Elephas maximus indicus: one gene and its partner. The protein of the gene in region 1 interacts with the protein of each later gene in a biochemical or structural test. Links are inferred from orthologs where the notes say so. Each region holds a gene or a part of one and is shown on either strand. Other genes may lie near its edges. The genes, in order: MAP3K1 and MAP2K4.

Region 1 (7,674 bases):
AGTGGTACTGAACCGCTTGGTTCACAAACAAAGCCTTGTCTACATAGGATTCAGTGAATCATAAAGGAAGATAAAACTGGCAAGGACGCTAATCCAAAGAGAGTAATTCGAATATTATAGGAGGTCCTTGAGAAAATGTCTGAGGTCTTTGAATATTTTTGCACAGATTATAGTCATGATTAAGCCACAAAGGTCAAACCAACAAAGAATATCTTGTCATATATCAAAAAACAGCAATCAACGTGGCTCATTCAAAGAATTGAAAAAATTAGAGCAGAGTTGTAAAGATAAGCAGATTTTTGCTAATATTAGACAGAGCAATCTTAATAAATTGTGGTTTTATTTGTTAATATAAAATCCCAATTCAACTGTTTTACTTATTTACTACAAAATTTAGTTTCTAATTTCAAGTACATGCAAATAAATGCAAAATGTTTAGATGGTTGTTTAATAAAAGGGAATCATAAAAACATATATTTATTTAAAATACTTTACTTAAGCTTAAAACATATAAAGGCTTTCCTTTGGTTTGGTTTGGGGTTTTTGTTTTTTCCAAGTATTCGACTCTAGGGCCTTGGTCTTTTGAGTGTGGGTCCACTGTTCTATTTATCTTGCTCACATATTGCATTGCCTACAGTTTCCAGTTTCAGTTTCTTTAAAGTGAGAACTGAAAAATACCTGCAAAGTAATTTTTTTTTTTAGATTTGAATGCTTTTTTCCCACTTTTTTACAATCATCACAACTGCAACTAACTTGAAGATATTTTTTTCAATGACTGGCCTTCATTCATTCTTTCAAAATATTTAACTTAATTTTTATTGGTACAGTTTTCTTTTTGCACTTACATACTCATGTTGCATTAATTTAATAATCCGTTTAATAATATTTAATTAAATTTCCTAAGCAAAGTTATGATAGGTATAATCAGGTTCGAGAATAAACACAACAGACTCTCCCAGGGACCATAATTCACCTGCCGGGAGCAGAAGTGGGCAGGTGCACACCAGCCACTGACCATGAACATTCATTGTGCAGTGGCATTCCTCAGCATGTCATACACAGAGAACGACAAGCAACTGTTACTGATGAGTCAGGTAAGTAGAGGCTAGTTAAAAACTTTCTACAATTATGTCACCTGCAGTGCCCTTGTAGTGGAACCAGTAATCCACAGATAGCAGTTTCCTGACTAAAACATCTGGAAACACCTGGCAAATGTGGTATCTGGGAAGAACATGGCAAAACCAAGATCTAACCCCAGCTCTCCTGCTCCCTAATAAATATTTATAAAGCCTGGAGGAACACCAGCTTTTGTCCTATTCTCAAGGTTACATTCTTACTTTTTATAGCCATCTAAGATTTTTTTTTATAACTCACGCAAGTGTGAATACGTGTATACACACTGATGGATCTTAAATTCTAAATCAGAATCAGTCCAATAAATACCCACTAATAAAAACAATTATAGATGGGAATATTTAATTATTTTTTTGTAAATATGAAAAACAACAAACAATATCCTTAGAGGAGAAAACTCCTTGCATGTGAATATCAGGTGCTTAATAAATATATGATGAATGAAATACAAGCTGATATATTTCTGCCATTGCATACTAAGTCTCTTCATTCTAATGTTAGTGATATTTGTGTACAACGAGGAAATACACCAATATTAAACTGGTTTCTCCAAATGAACATGATGTAGCAACTGAAGTGTGACTTAGGTGATTCCCAGAAGCACTATGTGAAAGCAGTGATCTGTAAAGCACTCACATAAAGGCTACAGAAACTGTCGTGGCATAAATGAAATCACGGCAAGGTTTGTATCCTCCAGTGAAGATGGAAATAAGGAGCTTGAAAACAGTAACTGGAGTTTTCAGTTCCAGAAGCGACCTTTGAAGAGACCTGAGTCTCCGTTAAGTCATTAAAGAAATCAAATTAAAGCAATTCAGAGTATACATTAGCTTGATATTTGACATATGAATCTCTGCAGTAATAAAAAAAACATGACACAGCAGCACCAAAACTAGCATTTACAATCTTATCCGTGCTTAAGACTCAGAAACTACGGTAATAATTCCTTGCAGCTGGATTCTCCGCGAAGAAGATTTTATATTAACTTTCCGCCGAAGGAGAACACTCTTTTCCAATCGAGCATGTCCTTTGGTTAGTTTTCTCTCTTAAAGAAAAAAAAAAAAGAGCGAGAGCGAGAGCGAGAAATCAGCAGGCCGGTGTGTAGATGCATAATGGCAATCCGAATATTTACATAAAAGATTAAGGGGAAAATTACTCAAAATGCCAAAAACTATCCAGCTCTCAGGTTTCTAGTGGCAGTGTATGGTGGATAGAGGAGGTCAGAGAATGTAGCTGACTGATAGTGCTGTTTTTGTTCCCATCTGTCTTTGGTCCCAAGTTTGAATCCCTTTGGATGAATTAGTGGGCAAAGGCAAAGTCTGCTGGAATCCTGTTTTATTTTAGCTACTCTGATCAAGCTTCAAAATTGTTCCTATTTTGAAAGGTTCCTGGCTCCACCGAACTTTTCTCACAGGTACCTGACCGTGTGTGTGTGCGTGCGTGTGTGTGTGTGTGTGTGTGTGTAAATGTAAAGGTTTTTAGATCTAAATAGGGAAGTGGAAAGTTTATTCTTTTCAATTTAGTGGGTGTGGCAATCCGGGAAGATCAGGGAAGTAACTACTGTTTGGTTTGGATGATACACTTGGCTATCGTTAAAAGAGCATATAATTATAGGCTAAACGTAGACTTAAAATTTTAACAGATTTATCTAAACTTTCAAAATTTGTACCGTTGGATGTAATTATCTAAAACTGTCTGATGGCAGGTGTTGTACCAGTATTAAAAACAGTGAACTAATATGAAATCAAGACCCTTAAAAACTCCCTCCACTATCACCTTGCTCCTCAGGTAACATACCTAGAAAGGGGGTTTTAATTGTATCAAGAAATGAAAGGAATTATTACATGGATAGTTCAGTCCAGGCCATGCATAGTTCAGGCTTTCGTCTAAATATTATGAAGACAGACAAGATAGCTCTCTCCTTTCTCTGCGTGGGAAGCCCCCTCCCCCCGCATTAAAATAAATTACCATTATTTAGTGTTTCTCAAAATATACCTAGAGACGCTGCTCCTGTCTTCTGGGAGATTTCCCATCACAGACAAACCAACTTAAGAGAAACGCAACACAACTCTACCCGGCTGAACAAAGGTCGAAAATCATTAACATGCAAATGAACCTTTTTCTATCCCAAAGCACCTTACGGCAGACTCTCCCCAGGGATGTTACTGTTGCTAGACCCATCCAGCAGCTCCCCAGGGATCCAGGGGTTCAAAACACCGCGTTTGGCAACCGGGTACTGCGGGGGATGGGGATGGGGGTGGGGGTGGAGGCACCTGGGACCATCGCCCGACCCCGCCAGGAAGAGGGACGTGCAGCGAGGGGCGTCGGGTTTGGGGAGGGCCAGGGCCAGGCTGAGGATGACATTATCGAGCACTTCCTGCACAGCGTAGGTTCCTTCCCCAAAGGTGCTCTATCTGGTTCTGTGCCCTTTCCAAAGTCAGAGCCGAGGAAAAAACAAAGCTCCTCAGGACATCCATGTGTCTCCATAGCCAAGTGGTACTGGGGAGACAAGGGCTGTCTGAAACCAACGACTTCAGGATGTAAACACGGTATTCCAAGAAACTTTGAAGTTTTGATTATTTGTAGCACGAGGGGCGGGGGACAAAAGAAGAGGAAAAATTTCTTCAAAAAAAAACTTTGTTTTTGGTCCGCAGCAGCACGTCCACTGAACGTTGGGTTTCTTTCGCTTTGCAGCAGGCAACACCCCCGGCGCCACCTGCGCGTCGCGCGCGGAGCGGGCAGGATGGGGCTTGGCCCGCGCCCGGGTCTCCCGACGCCACTGCAAAGGGCAGTGTGAATGACAAGACTGCAAATCTCCTCCCCAACATCCCCTTCCACGCATCACACGCACACATTCCAACTAATTATTTATTTCGGAAGCTGCAACTTCAGTAGGGCGAGCTCCCGGTGGGCCGAGCCGAGATTGCAGCAGACACGAAGCGGCGCGATGCTGCCACTCCGGCACCTCCTGTGGCCGGTGAGGCCCGCGACTACCTGGCGGCGCGGCGGGCGCAGCACGCAGAGTCCAGGAAGTTCCACCGCCGCCACGTCCGAGTCCACGGCGCCGGCCCGCCCGCCCCGCCGAGCGCGCAGCCCACTCCCCCCAACCTGCTGCGCCGCCGCCCCCGCCGACCCGCCCTCCGCCTCCGGCCAAACCCCGCGCCCCCGCCCGCCCGTCTGTCCCGGGCAGAGCCCGGCGGGCCACGCTCACGCAGTTGGCGCAGGCAGTTCTACGCTGGCGGCGCAGCGCCCGCCGGTCCGCCCGCCCCCTGCGCTCTCCCCGCCCCCTCCCTCCCTCTCGGGGGCCGAGCGAATGTAGCCCGCGAGAGAAAATGGCGGCGGCGGCGGGGAATCGCGCCTCGTCGTCGGGATTCCCGGGCGCCGGGGCGGTGAGCCCCGAGGCGGGCGGCGGCAGAGGGCCCCTGAAGGCGAGCAGCGTGCCCGCGGCAGCCGCGGGGCTCCTGCGGGAGGCGGGCAGCGGGGGCCGCGAGCGGGCGGAGTGGCGGCGGCGGCAGCTGCGCAAAGTGCGGAGTGTGGAGCTGGACCGGCTGCCCGAGCCGCCGATCTTCCTCGCCGCTTCTCCGCCGTCCTCCTCAACTTCCCCGTCGCCGGAGCCCGCGGACTCGGCAGCGGGCGGGAGCGGTTTCCAGCCTCTGGCGGTGCCGCCGCCCCACGGAGCCGTGAGCCGCTGCGGCGCCCAGCCTGCAGAGCTAGTGGCCGCTTCGGACAGCGGCGCCCCGAACCTCGCAGGGGCCGAGCCCGGGGAGAAGCGAGCGTCCGCCGCCGAGCCGTCTCCTGCAGCGGCCCCCACCGGGTGAGTAGCACCGCCGGGGGCGCGGAGAGAACTTTGGTTGTAGGCAGAGGGCAATGAATGAACCCCGGGTACCGTGCGCAGCGTCCTGGGGCCGCGTTCTGGGATACTGCGCGCCGCTTGCCGGGGTCCGAACCCCCGCACCCCCCGGGCACCCTCTCAGACCTCCTCCCGGCGTCGGGCGGCGCCCCGGACCCGGCCTAGGGGTTGGACGGGGTCCCGGGGCGGGGAAGTGCCGGGGAGTTTGTTATTGTTTGTAGACATGTGACAGACGTGCCAACCCGTCTGCGGGACCCGTTGCGAAAAGGTGTGGAGGCCCTGGCTAGCTCTGGGGCTCTGGGAATCCGTGCTCTCCGAGGAGCCGGGGCTTGAGACCCCGGCGCTGCCCTCAGGGCAATTTGGGGCCGGACCCAGGGGGCAGGGGGCAACCAGGTGGCGGCGCGCCAGGAACGGAGTCTCGGGGACGGGGGGCGAGGCCGGAGCCGGCCGGCGGGCGGTGGTCGGCAAAGGGGCGGGGTGGGTGGGGAGCCCCAACCGGAGGCCGGGGCGAGGGCGAGAGGACAGAAGAGAAAGCGACGAGGTCTCTGCGGCCGTGACAGGCCGAGCCCCTCCGCCCGCCTGGAGCTCGAGTCCTGAGGCAGGTATCGGGGGCCGGGCCCGGATGCCGCGGCGCGCCCCAAGAGCCGGCAGTAGGGGATTCCCGGGGGACGGCTCGGTAACGCCTGTCAAAGCGGTGCGGACAGATAGACTGCAAACTCGTGGGACTTGCAGTCTTTTCGAAATTGGGGTTTTCTAATTGCGTCCCCCCCAAAGGGGCTCCGAGAGTACTTGGGAATGCGAACTGCACGGAGAAGACTAGAGCGACTTCGGTTTGGAGTTTGAATTTGGTCTTTGAAGTTTGCATTTGGCTGAGTGGTGTAAGAGACCCGACCGGATGTGTCAGCCGTTCAATTTCAAAGCGGTGGTGACTGCTCCCCGCAGTTCCTCCGGCGTGGTTCGGGAGCGCGGCGCGGGTGCGGTGCTTCCTGCTCTGTGCAGCTGCGTCGGCCGACTGCCGAATTCCAGGGTTTTTTTGGGGGTTTTGTACAGAGCTGTCGGCTCAGCTAAGACAGACCTGTGGGGCTTATGCAGTACGATACATACGTGCAGTGTAACTCAGAGGAGCGATTCGTGGCCTGACCCTTTTTTCGCAGCTGGGGTTTTTTATGTTAAAGGAAATTCAAATAAATATGACAGCTATAATCTTTTTTTTTTTTTTTAATCTGGCTAACGTATACAAAGCACAAAGTCTTGATGGTGTATTTTGAGTTGCTGGAAATGGTTTTGTGATGGTCACCCTTTGCCCTGTAGAATTCCCTGACCCTTGTTGTGAGTATTTTAAAGAGTGTGTAACTTAGGTTTGTGTTTCTTGTGAGACTAATTTGACAGTGGAAATCTTAGTTTTGGTTCATTATCTGAAGTGATTTGGTACTTTTTTGTGAGATTATTTGTTTAAAACTACAGTTCATTTATTACTTGGATGTCGCTCCCTCCCCTGAAAATAAATAAAAACTAAGAAAAAAAAATAGACTTTACCATGGCAGTATTGAAACAAAAGGAGATTGTGACTGTGATAGTTTTTTGTGTGCACTTGTACATGTAACTTAGTTTTACAAGAGTTATATTCCTTTACAGTTTTCTATTTCTATGCACATTGGACAAAAACTTAACTGGAAAAATTCTTTGAAGGCAAATGTGAGAAATTAGTTTTACCTATACTCATGATACATAACTCTTTGGATGCAATAAATGATTTAGTAAATATCAGCATTCTGGTCTTCTCATTGAGCTATGAATATAGTATAAGGGCAGCCACTGTTAAGATAACACATAGAAGTTGTTTGGTATGGTCTTCTGACACAAAATAAGAGAACTAAGGTGGAAAAAAAAAAGCTATGAATATAGTATAAGGGCAGCCACTGTTAAGATAACACATAGAAGTTGTTTGGTATGGTCTTTTGACACAAAATAAGAGAACTAAAGTGGAGGCAGATAGAATTCAGGGACTGAATAAATCCATGCTTAGTTTTTGTGTTTTATAACCTAGGTTTTTTTCTCCTCTTTGTTTAAGGGGCGGATTATAAATTGCACAGTATATGATATAATAGACTAGTTTGCATAACCTTTTTTTTTTTTTTAATGACTTTCATTAGCCAGAAAGCTTTTGGCTCATCCCACATATAAAAGTAATTATTTCCTTTATAATTAAGTGTTGATTCCCTGTCTTTTTAAAATACGATGATTTTTCTAACTTCTTTGGCAATTGGGGTTGAAATTCATTTCAGTCTCTTGGTATAAACACTGAGTATAAGTAGTTCAATAAAACTTGAATTGAGCTTTGCATTATACTTGTTGACAATAGTTTCATATGTTCAGGAGGAAAATCAGACAGTGAGATTTTGAAATATTTTTATGTTCGAGTAGGAGTAGGGGTCTAAAGACCTCTTCTGTCTAAAGACCTATTTTTTTTTTTATTAATTCTATGATTTCAATTTGAGAATTCCCCTTAGTTTTTTTTTTAACTTTTTTATGTTGAATGTAGAAATTAAAATTGTAGAAAATACACTTGTGAGGTATAAATTATATAAATAACAGTAATTTTTAAAATTGGAGATTTAAAATCTGGCCCTCTTTTTCAGAGTAATAACTGAAATCAGTGAAAGTTTTGTGCCTGTAAGTGGCGCCCAAGCGTT
Region 2 (8,022 bases), on another chromosome or scaffold:
ATCAGAGACTATATCAGCCTGAGACCAGAAGAACTAGATGGTGCCTGGCTACAACCAATGACTGCCCTGACAGGGAACACAGCAGAAAATCCCAGATAGAGCAGCAGAGCAGTGGGATGCAGACCTCAAATTCTCATAAAAAGACCAGACTTAATGGTCTGACTGAGACTAGAAGGACCCCGGAGGTCATGGTCCCAAACCTTCTGGTAGCGCAAGACAGGAACCATTCCCAAAGCCAACTCTTCAGACAGGGATTGGACTGGACTGTGGGATAGAAAATGATACTGGTGAAGAGTGAGCTTCTTGGCTCAAGTAGGCACATGAGACTATGTTGGCATTTCCTGTCTGGAGGGAAGATGAGAGGGCAGAGGGGGACGGAAGCTGGCTGAATGGACGCAGGGAATACAGGGTAGAGAGGAGGAGTGTGCCATCTCATTAGGGGGAGAGCAACTAGGAGTATATAACAATGTGTATATAAATTTTTATATGAGAGACTGACTTGATTTCCAAACTTCCACTTAGAGCACAATTAAAAAAGAAAAGTAGGAAGTGCACAGCTTCATTAGTGTGAACAGCTCATAGTCCTTTCTCTCTCTCGGTCTTTGTTTTGGCCCATATTCAGTCATAATTAGTGGTTGTTATCCTGGTTCCTATCCACCAGTTTTCAATGCCAACAGCAATGCAAGTGTTATCTCGGTTTTATCACAAACGTGCCAGCATCAGGTATTATTAAACAAAAACCCTAACTGGTTGTATATTGCCATTTTCATTCAACTTTCCTCAATGAATTTGCTAGCTGGAATGTTTTCCCTTAGGTTTATTTGTTGCTTACATGGTTTTCTTATTTGTGTCCATCCAACCATATCATCAGGTCAGTGTTTTCTGACTTGATTAAACCTCTTTAGGAAAATCTTAAATGTAACCTTTACATAATCTAAAACAATACAGGAAAATAATATGTTCTTTATTTTTTAGTAATGGCCTAATCTCTAGTATTGCCTCTAGAGTTTCTAATAAAGAAATACACATAATTGGAAAAGGGAGCGTGTAGCACTTTCCATAAGACTGTGGCTATATTAGTTTTTCACATAAAAAAATGGGTGTGGGATGTTAGTGGTTCTTATGGGGGTGTGGAGAATAAAACTTCTCCAAGCCTTTTCTTGGCATTCCTCTAATCCCAAAGGAACTGGAAAGGAGAAGTGAGATGACACAGTCATACTCAACAGTGACATTTAGATAACAGGAACTGGCTGGGAGTCCTACTGGCAGGTACTGAAATAAAGTGTAGGAAAATCGCTCCAATAGAACTGTGTGAAGTCGAGTCATCCTGCATCTGGAGCCTGGTGATGACAGGATACTACATTTGGGACATTTGCCAGCAAAGTATGGTGCTCTTGATGCCTTTTCCCTTCATGCCAAAATGGCTAAGCCAAGGGAAATACACACGTATTGTATTGGGGGAGGGGAGGGATTCCCCTATTTTCCTGCATCCGTATTTTCTAATCACTGCCATGTTGTGTGGATTTCTTTCGGTTTAGTTTTTTATTGAGGTGAAATTCACACAACATACAGTTAATCATTGTAAAGTGTACAATCCAGCAGTATTTAGTGCATTCGCAGTGCTGTGCAACCACCAACTCTTTCTAGTTTCTAAACTTTTTCATCACCCCATAAAAAACCCCTCTGTGCCCATTCAGTAGCCACTCCTCATTTCCCCTTTGCCCACCCCCAGTAACTAATTGGCTCTCTGTCTCTATGGATTTGCCTATTCTGGATGTATCATAAAAAGGAATCATACACCATGTGATCTTTTTTGTCTGGCTTCTTTCATTCAGCATAAAGCTCTCAAGGTTCATCTAAGTTGTAGCATGTATCAGCACTCTGTTCCCTGTTACGACTGAATATTTCATTGTATGCATATGTCACAATTTGTTTATCTACTCATCCGCTGATGCACATTTTGGCTGTTATGAATAATCCTGCTACAAATATTTGTGCACAGGTTTCCCTGTGTACATGTGTTTTCATTTCTTTTGGGCATATATTTAAGAGTGGAATTTCTGGGTCATATGGTAAGTCTATGTTTAACTTTTTGAGGAACCGCCAAACAGTTTTCCAAAGTGGCTACACCATTTTACATTCCCACCAGCAATGGACTAGGTTTCTATTTCTGCACATCCTTGCCAATGCTTGTTGTTTTTTGTTTTCTTGATTAAAGCCAACATACTTGGTGTGAAATGTTATCTAACTGTGGTTTTGACTTGCATTTCCTTATTTCCTTAGTGACCAATGATCTTCAATATCTTTCCATGTGCTTATTAACCATTTGTGTATCTTCTTTGTAGAAACGTCTACTCAAGTCCTTTGCTCCGTTTTTGAGTTGTGTTTTTGTTGTTGAATGTAAGAGTTCTTTATATATTACTGATACTAAACCCTTATCGGATAGATGATTTCCGAATATTTTCTTCCATTCTGTAGGTTATTTCCCTTTCTTGAGAATGCCATTAGAAAAACAAAAGTTTTTGATTATTATGAAGTCTAATTTATTTATTTTTTCTTGTTCATGCTTTATATCTAAGAATCCATTGCCCAATCAGAGGTCATGAAGAGTTTACTCCTATGTTTCCTTCTAAGAGTGTTACAGTTTTACCTCCTATATTAAGGTCGTTGATTCATTTTGAGTTAATTTTTTAGTATGGGGTGATGTAGAGGTCAAGCTTCATTCTTTTGCATGTGGAAATCCAGTAATCCCAGCACCATTTATCGAACAGACCATTCTTTCACCATTGAATGTTCTTGGCAACGTGTTGAAAATCAATTGACCACATGTGTTTGATGTGTTAATGTTTTGAAAGAAATATCCCATTTGTTTTTTCATACCAACTCCGCCAGGTATTTGAACATAAGCTCAAAAAAACAAAAAAAACAAGGTTTATGCCTTAAAAGGACAGAATGTTAGAGAGCCACGGCTTCTTCTTTCCTTTGTTGTTTGTTGTTTCTCTTCCCATCAGCAGTATCCAGAGGATACAGACAGAATATTTAACCTGTATTCTTAGCTGGACAGCCTGTATGCAAACATTTCTTTTTGGACTTTGGTAAGATTTCCCCTTCAAGAAACTGACATTTATTTAGGACACTCCGGGACCAACAGGAGCAAGGTGGGATACTGATTCTCAGATGGTGATTTGGCAAGTGTTCATGGTGACCCTGTCCTGGAGATATTGCTCCATCAGCCTGGCCTCTGGAGGAGAATTCTGGCAGACTGGAATGCGGCCGGCTCTCTAAGCACACCAATGTGCTCTCACCTTCTATTTGGCTTTATTGCCTCTCTAGTTTACTTCCTCTATCTCCTGTCTCTAAGGAGCCCTGGTGGAACAGTGGTTAGAGCACTCAGCTGCTAACTAAAAGGTTGGTGGTTCAAACCCACCATTCATTCCATGGGAAAAGATGTAGCAGTCTGCTTCTGTAAAGATTCGCTGCCTTGGAAATCCTACGGGGCAGTTCTACTTTGTCCTGTAGGGTCACTATGAGTCAGAATGGACTCCCCAGGAGTGGGTTTGGATTTTTTTGTATCTCCTATCTCTAGCCAGTGTTAAGATTTGGGCAGTCAAGGTGATGGCTGAGGTTGGGGCTGGAGCGACCTAGGATACATTTCCAACATGCTACAGGAAACTCCAGCATCAGATAAGATCTGGGTGGAAGGAGTTCAAGAAGGAGGTTCTGGAATAGATTGTGCAATGCTTCCAAAGGGCAGGGAACATCCGGCTACGTGGTATAGATCCCTTGGTGTGCAGTAAAGTTGGTCATTCTGTTACAGGCAAGACATATTTCTGCCCTTAAACCTGTCTCACCACCCCAATTACATTTCCATTGGCTGACAACACTCCAGCCTCAGAGAGGACTCTTTCTCTGCTTTAAGCTGCTGCCTTACTAAAATCAAAATGCTCTGTGCAAAGCACTGGCAGAAATCTGTTTTTTTTTTTTTTGTTTGGGTGTCATTTTATGTAATTTATAATATTGACTATGGCTGGCCTTGTAAGATGTAGAGGGGTTGGGGGAAGGGAGTCTGGCACTTGTTGAGGGGGGGATGATGACATAGGTAGTATATTTTGGAGGGCCAGGGAGCTGTATAGCCAAAAAGTTGTTGGTTCGAACCCATCCAGATGTATCTTGGAAGACAAGCCTGGCAATCTGCTTCCGAAAGGTCACAGCCTTGAAAACCCTACAAAGCAGTTCTGCTCTGCACCCATGGGGTCACCTTGAGCCGGAACTGACTCTACAACAACTAACAGCAAGGGAGTGTTGAGTGCTTGAGATACTGCTTCCCAAATTTAATGTGCATACAGGTTACCTGGGGATAGCACTAAAATGTAGATTCTGATTCAGTAGATTTGGGATGGACAGCACTTTGAGTAGCAGCCCCTCTCACGCCCCAGGGCAGTGTAGAAAGTTGGGGTGTTAGGTATGGCCTAACAGGAATTCCAGACTGGAACCATACCCATAGCCGATCCTCTCTGGATGTGCCGTGTCAGAGACTGGACAAGAAGCACGACTCTTGGGATCCTTTGCATCTTTACTATTTTGAGTTCTGAGATTCCAGGAAGGGGGTTCTTAAACTTTTGGGGTCACAGACCTCTGCGGGAATGATGAAAGCGATGTATCCTCTTACCCCGCCCGCCCGCCCAACGCACACACACTCATAATTCTGCAGACTACTTTTAGACCCTGCGGGCCCGCGCGCGGCCCAGGGCCGGGATCCCTGCCTGCCTGTCGGGTCCAGTCCTCCAGACCTGGGCGGCTCTGCAGTTTCCCAGCGGCGCGGGCTCCGCGTCAGGCCGGGGGCGGGGGCGTGCCGGGGGCGGGGCCGAGGCGTGTCCGGGGCGGGGCCGAGCCGCGCCGGGGGCGGGGCCGAGGAGGCGCTGGCCCCGCCCCTCGGCCGTGCGAGAGGCCGACTTGCTGCATTGCAGCCGCCGCGGCGCCGCTGGGCTCCTCACTCCCAACAATGGCGGCTCCGAGCCCGAGCGGCGGCGGCGGCTCCGGGGGCGGCAGCGGCAGCGGCAGCGGCGCCCCGGGCTCCATAGGGCCCCCGGCGCCGGGGCAGCCGGCCGTCAGCAGCATGCAGGGTAAGGAGCGCGGCCCGCCGAGACCCCTGCCCCCTGGCGCGGCCGTCGGCGCCGTCGCGGCCTGTCCCGGCGGCCGCGCACACCCCCGGCCCGGGCTGAGGAAGCCGCCGAGGTCCCGCGCCGCGCGCCCTCCCTCCCCGGCTTCCCGCCGCTCCCGGCCGCCTCCGGGCCGCCCAGCATCCGGGCCCCGGCCGCGCAGGCCCCGGCCGCGGCCTCCCGCGGCGCCCGGCCGCCCGGCCCTGCCGGCCCTTCCGCCGGCCCGCGGGGCCCACCTGGCCCGGGAGCCGCCCCGCTCGCGGCCGCCGCTTACCTGGCCGCCGGCCGGCCGGCTTCCGGGACCTGCGGGCCGGGGCGCGGGCGGCGGGCGGGCGGCGGCGGGCGGGCCTCGCTGCTCGCCTCGCTCCTCGCTCCTCGCTCCTCGCTCCGGTCCCCGCCGCGCGCGGGCAGGTAGGCAGTGGGGCCCCGGCCGGGCCGCCCTGGTTCTCCGCGGGGCACGGCTGCCGCCGGCCCGCCGACCTGACCCCTGGGCCGCGCGGGCCTGTCGGAACCGGCGTTGGCCAACTTCTGCAGGTTTCTGGGCGCTGGGAGGGGCTGAGGATTGCTCAGGCCTGGGCCACCTGTAAGGTGCTGGGACAGCCCTGGCCTGGGGGAGCCCGTGTGTACCAGGCTGTGGAGGGATTTCTGTGTTCGCCCTGCATGCAGGAAAAAAAAAAAAAGGTGAATTCGGTGTCAATGGAGAGATACCGGAAACAAGCAGGGGTCAAGCTGGTACTGTGTAGTGTCTGGACAGCCGAGGCAGCCTTCCTACTTAATGGCTTTCCCACCGGGAATGCTTATTAGCTCGGTGTGGCCCTTGACAGGGGGTGCTGTGAAAATACACTTACCAGGCCCCAGCCCACTAGGGACCATTTCCTTAAGCTTACTGGGGAATTTGGAGTAGGAATGCTATTTTTAAAATAGCGAGTGTCGGAAATCTCTTGACAACTTTAGCAAACTGCTTGTATTGAATTATGAGTAGAGTCATTAGGGGGTACCCTTGGTAGTCAGTGTGACCCTGGCTGCTCTTTGGTTGAACTTCTTAAAGGGCTCCAGGGGCTGTCCCTTGAATTGAATATTTCGTGTTTATGAGTGTGTGTGTGTGAGATTCAGGAAGGAGAGACAGGATTTTATTCATCTTTCTATCCGCACCACCTTGCCCATGAGGTAATTTTAATATACATAAGGAACAATGATAGATATATAGACAGGATGACGTCAGCGCTCAGAGGACACTTTGTGCAGGCCATAAGTTAATTCAGATTGAATTGGTTATTGAATGGCCACGGTTTTGCACAGCACAGTATACAGATGAAGTCCAGGGTGGGTTCCGGATCTCACAGCTTCACAGTCCAGGTGGTGGGGGAAAATGAAACAGCAAAATGACAATTGAGGACTGTGTTGTTGGTCCAAAAAGGGTGACTTATAAAAATCATGCAAGCTTTTTTTTTTCCCCCGGACAGCAGGAGGTGACAGTTTGAAAAAGCTGTATACATTTGTATTTTTGTTCAAAAATTATTTATTGAACATCTGCTAGGTGCCAGGCATAGAACTGTAGTACTGGGTGTTCAGAGGAGAGTGTATTAGAGGGTCTCACCCCTGATGGGGCTTACCTTCCCATGAGAATGGGGGAGGGAAGACGATATGCAGGTAAATAAGAAGAATTACAATTTGAGAAAGTGTTATGAAGGTAGCAAACTGGGTAGAAAGTAATGGGGGTAAGGGCATTCAGCTCTGAGAAGATATTCAGGGAAGGCCTGTCTGAAAAGCCGACCCTCTTCTACCAGAAGAGCATCTCAATGGAGGGCACAGTGTACGTGATGATTCCCAAACAGGACAGAGCTTGGAGTGTGCTAGGAACTCAGAGAAAGTGGTTGCGGTTAGTTGTTCTGATGCTCCTCATTCTCCTCTCCTTCCCCTATGTCTTAATACCCAGAATCCATCTTAAAAGGGAGAGCATAGCATCCCTCTTTCATTTGTCTCTGAATTAGTTTAATTGTATCAGGACTGTGTCTAACCTTGATTGATTCAGTTTATATCTTGTTCTTGAGCCTCTTTTGGTTACTCAGAATGAAGAGAATTACTTGAAATTCTCAGGATATAAAACTCGAGCTTAAGCAGCAGTTCAGGATCTCTGTTTTCTGTTTATTTTGTTATATTATACCTAAACCTCCCATACTTCATCTTCCAAAGACCTTTCTTGGCTTTCGATTAGACTTCACAGAGAGTGGTCCTTAGAAGGTGTTGGTGTACTGCCTAACCGCCTGCTTCCGCTCCCTCCAGTTGGCTTCTACTTGCCACCTCAGGAAACCACCTTCCTGGAAGCTGTTATTGACCATGCTCTTGCAAACAGCAGGATTCAGCTGTGGGACACATGGAGTATATTTCATTTAATAGGCACCGGAGGTCCTCCTGTGGGATAAGCATTTCCTAGGCATTGGACAACCTTCCACGCTTTTTCATGGCTTGAAGTTTGTGGCAAGGGTGGTCCAAAGTGTGAAACGTTGTTTTCTTAATATCCTAAGGCTTAAGAGCCTGAGCTCTAGAGTCCTGGGTTTGAATCCCCTTACCACAATTTAAGATTTTTGTGATCTTGTGCAGGTTACTTACCTTGAAGCCACAGTTTTTCATTTGGAAAGAGGGAATAATCCTTACCTCATAGATGATATGAGGATGAATGTAGAGTATGGGGTCTTTCATGGTGAAGATGGAATAGATGTTAGCTGTCAGCAGTGCTATTAGTGGTAACGGTCTCATTGATTATTAGTAGATGAGTCACTGTCCCTCATCATCTACCACTTTATGTAGCTTCAGTATTACAGGGCCTTACACTTCACTCTACTGTGTTCCTTTCACCATATTT

Evidence for each region.
Region 2: of the proteins of MAP3K1 (region 1) and MAP2K4, one has a biochemical effect on the other in vitro, tested with the Homo sapiens proteins (7 studies listed by BioGRID and IntAct, with this or other methods). The link is inferred for Elephas maximus indicus from reciprocal best matches to the Homo sapiens genes MAP3K1 and MAP2K4.

Annotation. Positions count from the first base shown.
Region 1 is NC_064820.1:60,718,563-60,726,236, forward strand, and holds the start of MAP3K1 (mitogen-activated protein kinase kinase kinase 1), read left to right. Parts: upstream 1-4,427; 5' UTR 4,428-4,463; coding exon 4,464-4,945; intron 4,946-4,951; exon of another isoform or gene 4,952-5,249; intron 5,250-5,472; exon of another isoform or gene 5,473-5,579; intron 5,580-7,674. UniProt on the Homo sapiens protein: Component of a protein kinase signal transduction cascade. Activates the ERK and JNK kinase pathways by phosphorylation of MAP2K1 and MAP2K4. May phosphorylate the MAPK8/JNK1 kinase.
Region 2 is NC_064837.1:7,842,025-7,850,046, reverse strand, and holds the start of MAP2K4 (dual specificity mitogen-activated protein kinase kinase 4), read left to right. Parts: upstream 1-4,956; 5' UTR 4,957-5,002; coding exon 5,003-5,123; intron 5,124-5,433; exon of another isoform or gene 5,434-5,500; intron 5,501-8,022. UniProt on the Homo sapiens protein: Dual specificity protein kinase which acts as an essential component of the MAP kinase signal transduction pathway. Essential component of the stress-activated protein kinase/c-Jun N-terminal kinase (SAP/JNK) signaling pathway.